2 linked regions of the Kluyveromyces lactis genome follow. The protein of the gene in region 1 purifies or fractionates together with the protein of each later gene. This does not show direct contact. Links are inferred from orthologs where the notes say so. Each region holds a gene or a part of one and is shown on either strand. Other genes may lie near its edges. The genes, in order: SEC28 and RET3.

Region 1 (3,015 bases):
TGTTACCGGGAATACTAGAAAGTAAATCTTGAATCTCTTTGGTAGACTTTTCAACTTCTTCGTCACTCACATTGGATGATTTCTTGTTACCTGACGGAGTAACTTTTGGCTCATCAAGAACAGATGTTGAAGACAAAAAGCTATTCTGCTGTTGACCAGTGATCTTGTTCAACCTGCTGGAAGCACCTCCGTTGGAAAACTTCTGTTGCCTTCTTTCCCTCAACAATTTACGTTTCTCAGCATCAGACAATTCAGTAGCCATCTTGTAAACTCCAAATTCTGTGTGAATTACAGCTCAATTCGGGGGAAACTAAAGTAGAATTAGATCGACAATCAAAATAAGAAGATCAACTCCCCTGAATATTCGAACTAAATACAACGCAGGTGCCTTGTAAAACGATACCGAGTGACTGGTTTCAAAACTAACCCTTCACATTGTATAGGATGTTTGATCAATCCGCTTTATCTTGACAGTTCCCACGAAATTGATGGGAAAAAGAACAATGTTACCCGGAAAGTATCGCCAATACCAATACTATTTGCTACTCAAGATCTATTTGATATATATAGATTTAGGCTGTGTACTTTGCCACAATTTGATCGAAAGTCTTGTTATTTTCAAGGTCGGCAACACATAGTGGGTGAGATGGTTTCAATTGTTGCAATTCCGATCTCAATTCGTTTGCATTTCCACCAGATAAGATGGTGTACGTAATCTTATTTGCAAGTAGATCAGGCTTGTACGTTTGTGCTTCTTGTTTGATATCGTAGAACTCGCTTTCTAAGAGGTCGATGATTGCTTTGGATTCAGGCAAATGCGATTGTTGGAGGTGTAAATTCAATAGGCCTAATTGAGTCTTCCAACTTGGGAAAGTTTGAGACAACTCTTCAAAGAAATAGAAATTGGATCCAGTGATCTCTTTACCCTGGTTGAAGTTGATGTATGACTCTGCAAGATTCAAAATTATTTCATCGTCGTTCGATTGCTCCTGAAGTGCTTGGAAATTTTCAAACATAGTCGAGGCAATGGTTGGTTGATTATCCAACAAAGTTATTTGGATGGCCGTTAACAGTAGTTCCGGGGTTCCTCTTGTTTCATCGGAGTCAATTCCTTCAACGGCAACCTCCAAAGCAGTTTTAAACTCGCCCTTTATAGTCAATGCACTTGCTAATAAGTTCAATGCAAATGGAGATCTGCCCGCCTTTTCAACGGTTTGTTCTAGTGCAGTGATTGAGCCTGTAGGTTTGCTTAAAAATTTATAGTAAGCCTCAAATACAGGCCCAAGTGAGCCAGAATCAGCACTACCCTCACTGAACTGGGACAATGCAATCAATGATCTATTTCTGTAGTAAGTCAACGCCTCATCTTCAGTTTTGTTAAACTTAGAAACTTCGTTCAACGCTTCTTCATAGTTACCAGTATAAAACTGCTGTTTTACAGTAAAATAGTCCATTTCTTCTGAGTTGATATTTTTTTCTCAACAAATCTGACGTCGGAAAACTTCAATTAACCGTTATCGTGTATTGAAAGCGACTTTACTGGCTCATTAACGGGTCTATCTCACACGTATCCTTTAATATTGAGAGTCCATATGCTATCTTACTTTGATCCACCATGCGAATTGTCCAAAACTGAAAAACTGACAGGATCAGGGTAATGGATGTTTTTCATTCACGTGATCTTTTTTTTTGTATTTTTCCTTTCTCGAATAATTCTCGAAGGTGTGGATCACCATATGGCGTTTATTTAAGGGATTGAGAGTATTTATCAGAAGAAATTCAGAGCCAGTTACTTTGGACGTTTAAACGATACGGGTTGGAAAAGGAAACAGATTCAGTAATTAACAGTACACTTCTTACGACCATTGGTTAATTCCGGATTTGAGATTTATATTTAAAACGTCTGAGTGAGAGAGAGAGGTTAGCAAGAATTTTTTCCTTCTTAAGACGAATCACGACTTGGCCTAGATTTATCTCAGACTAATTTCATGGTGAAGAGTCAATCCACGTTAATATATCATAAAAGATTTATTTAACTGGATCTTTAATTAAAAACCTGTCATAATGTCCGGTTCAAGTGACAGTTCACATGATACCACCGTTAAGGATATAACTGAGGATGAGCAGTTCTTGAGGATAAGAAGGCTGAACGACAACAACCATGGGAAGAGGAAGTCTTTGCATGAGGAACAGTTGGAGGATGCTGTTCTCGATGAACTTGGATCTCCGGACGTTCTTTTCAACACGGTCCAGCCTAACGACACGGTTATCTTTAAGACTAGAACCACCTCCGAACAAGGCGACAAACATCTGCATGTTTTCATGCAGAAATTGAAGGTGAAGGAAAAGAACAGATATAAGAAGGATACGAATGAAATGCAGTCCATGACACGAGATGTAGACTGGGGCTCTAGAGGTAGTATCATGGATGAGATGGTCAACAATCCGCTTAGATCTCATTTCAATGGGCCAGCAATAGACGAGAAATATTCTAGAGTAAAGGCAACAGCCAGATCAAATACGGTGAGGATAGATGACAATAATACTATTGAAATTGCAAATGAAACTATAGCAACAGACTTTTCTGGATTCTATGTCTTATTTTGGATGGCAGTTGCGTTCACCATCTGCAAAGTGACATTACAATATTACGAGGAACATGGTGATTTTTCACAGTCAATTATCTTGCGATACATGACCATGAATCTTTGGAAAGTTGCGTTATATGATATCGCAATGTACCTGACTAGTTATTTTGCATTCGTCATACAATATTTGTGCAGAAAAAATGTCATCAGTTGGAGACGTACAGGGAGAGATATTATTTCAGTTTATGAGGTGGTATTTCTATTCTCCAATATCTACTTACCAAAAAAGACCTTCCATTTCAACTGGATCGCCCAAATATTTTTATTTTTACATTCATTGGTCTATTTGATGAAGATACATTCTTATTCCTTCTATAATGGTTATTTGTGGGATATTTCATCAGAGTTGGATTATGCAACATCTACC
Region 2 (2,687 bases), on another chromosome or scaffold:
ACAAATCAGAAAAGGTCGAAGTTGATATTCCAAAATTTTTGAATCAATTGAAAACCGGTATTTCCAAAGATGATAAAATAGCTGACGTTATCCCTGTCTATGCCCCCTGGGCTGCTTTAACTAAAAATAAGTATAAAGTCAAAATACAGCCTGGCACTGCAAAGAAGAGCAAATCTATTAATGAAACTCTACATTACTTCTTGAATAGAACTGTCGACAGTTCGGAGTACGATAAAGACTTAGATTGGCCAAGAGAACATGAAACAATAAAGCTAATCAAAACTTTGGATGTCGTTCCTATTATTTGTTCTGATAAATTGAAGATTTCCATCCCAGGTGGAAACGACAAAGCATCCTCAGGCAGATCACATAAATCAAAGCAATCAATGGCGAAAGGTAAGAAGTCTAAAAAATGATGACAAAAAATATCAAGCAAATTCTTATCATTCAGAGATATGTTTGACCAATCGAATAGTTTTCACGCTGTCATATTAAAATCAACTAATTAGCATATAAAGTGAAAGTACTGTATTTCATATTTATATTTATCTTAGTTTCATCTTTATTAGAAGAGGCAAAGACATTCACACAGTATTTACATATCGATGGTAAACATATGTGTCTGATTATAAAAGAAATCTGGAAAATGAGGAGAAGCTTACAAGCCCTGCTGTAATCTTTCAGCCAATTTACTCTTGGCAAAGCCCCACGCGCTTAGCAAACCCTTTTCATTCAATTCTATATTCAATGGGATATCCTTTGAAGGCGGTTTCGTCACTCTAGAGGCAATTGTGGCTGGATCAGTTTCTAAGATAATACCATCATCAATCAATTCATCAATTGCTAGAACCACCATGTCATAATGTTCCTGAACACTCCTCTTGTCAATACCTGTATCCAATATCAATTCTAGGGAATCTTTGAACCCGTTGAATGCTTCTTGCAAAACAATTTCGTTTTCGTCGATTGCACCGATCAGATATATCGAAACATCGACATATTCTCTGTAAATAACTAATAGATCGTCTGATATCATAATGTCTGAATTCTGCCCATGAGTTTTAGCAAATAGGTTAGATTCGAACTCTTTTTGCTTCTTTAAGCTGGATGCAAGAGAATCTGCAGAAATTTCTTCGTGTGGTGGATGGAAGTATTTCGAGTAAAGTCTTCTTCCTTCTCCATCCAAAATCAACACAGCTTTAACTGTGTATAGAGATAAGTTAACCATGTTGTTTATGTTTTTCTTCTTGGTTACTTCCAGGGTATGCTATTCGTGTTATTCAGTACTGATGCAATGGTTTACTGTCTCAGGAGGGAAGTGCTGGTTTGGCGGTACGCGAAAATTCCAAATTTGCAGTTGACAAGATATAGGACAAATAGGAACTGCGCTCGAGAGAGGCAGAATTCAGCTCTCAACCATTGCCCATTCCTGTAATTAGAATCAGTAGCCTTCTTTGGATGTCTTGTAAAGCTGTCCATGTAAAAAGCTCCATGGCAATGAAAGCCTGTTGATATCATTGAATACGGATTTATGCTCCAGTAACGCCAAACAGCAAGTGTTTGATCGAATCTCTTATCACGTGATTTGTTTCCGGGTAATGGAAAACACAGAAGGAACTTGTAACTTTTACTGTCTGATAAGTAGGTTAGCCATGCAAATACTATACATTAACGAAAACTGTCTATTGTGGGGTTCGTTCGATGCAGAATGCAACCAGTACTGAGCTTCGAGGACACTGATTGATTTACTAAGCAGTATTTACTTTGATTTATTTATCATAAGTTAAATACCGGCCAATTGCAAAGACTTTGCAGTATTTTGTATATTCTACGCTCTAAGCATTGAGCAAGCAAAGTGTTATTGCTTTACTCAGCTCCTCACAATTATGACCACTGATGAAAGTTTTTACTTTTCGCTGCTGCGAATTTCAATGATACACCTTTTAAGGGCACATGGCTTCGATAGAGCCAAAATGGGGACAGTTAATCTTTTTACTGATTTATATGTGAGATATCTAGAACTGATGATTCAAGAAATACGGAAACTTACTCTGGATCGCCGTGATTTAGATGAAGAAGTGTCCCTTCAAGATATTACCCAAGGAATGCTCAATATCGGCGTATTTAAACCAATGAACCTACTGGATGTTTACGATGAAAACCCGTCCGTGGCAGGCGATGAAGGTATGCAACAGTTTAAAAGATGGTTACTTCAAGATCCCGCAACAACAGAAGCACGAGTTATCAGTACCCCAAGTCCAGACCTGTTGAAAGTTGGTGATAAAACTAGTAAACCATTGTCAATGATTCCGGAGTATATCAACCAGCTGAATACATCGGACAAAAAGCCTAACGATGGAGATGATGAGACAGAATTGGTGGAAGCAATGATAAACAACGGGGATATGGATGACTGGATACAATTCATGTTGACATCACAAAAATTAGAACTTGCGAAGAGGAAGTCGGGGAAACTTCCTCAAGATCTCATTTCGTTACCGTCAATTCCTGGATTAAAATACTCTAAACTAAGCCGAAGTCGACCTATCATTACCAATTCATGCATTCCAGTTGGAATCGAAATTAACGAAGATGAAGAAGGAAAAGAGGAAAGTACTGAAGACGCAGCAGAGCAAATAGTTCTGAAAAGACTCATCTCAAAGTTACCTATCGGTAACCCAAATAAC

Evidence for each region.
Region 2: the proteins of SEC28 (region 1) and RET3 purify together in Saccharomyces cerevisiae (affinity purification with mass spectrometry, with the first as the bait; 3 studies listed by BioGRID). This does not show direct contact. The link is inferred for Kluyveromyces lactis from reciprocal best matches to the Saccharomyces cerevisiae genes SEC28 and RET3.

What each region holds. Positions count from the first base shown.
Region 1 is NC_006039.1:798,259-801,273, reverse strand, and holds SEC28 (coatomer subunit epsilon), read right to left. Parts: upstream 1,455-3,015; coding exon 573-1,454; downstream 1-572. Other genes in the region: GET complex subunit GET2, read right to left, coding at 1-262; ARE2 (sterol acyltransferase), read left to right, coding at 2,065-3,015. UniProt on the Saccharomyces cerevisiae protein: The coatomer is a cytosolic protein complex that binds to dilysine motifs and reversibly associates with Golgi non-clathrin-coated vesicles, which further mediate biosynthetic protein transport from the ER, via the Golgi up to the trans Golgi network.
Region 2 is NC_006042.1:2,524,874-2,527,560, reverse strand, and holds RET3 (coatomer subunit zeta), read right to left. Parts: upstream 1,229-2,687; coding exon 659-1,228; downstream 1-658. Other genes in the region: RQC2 (Rqc2p), read left to right, coding at 1-416; TAF3 (Taf3p), read left to right, coding at 1,887-2,687. UniProt on the Saccharomyces cerevisiae protein: The coatomer is a cytosolic protein complex that binds to dilysine motifs and reversibly associates with Golgi non-clathrin-coated vesicles, which further mediate biosynthetic protein transport from the ER, via the Golgi up to the trans Golgi network.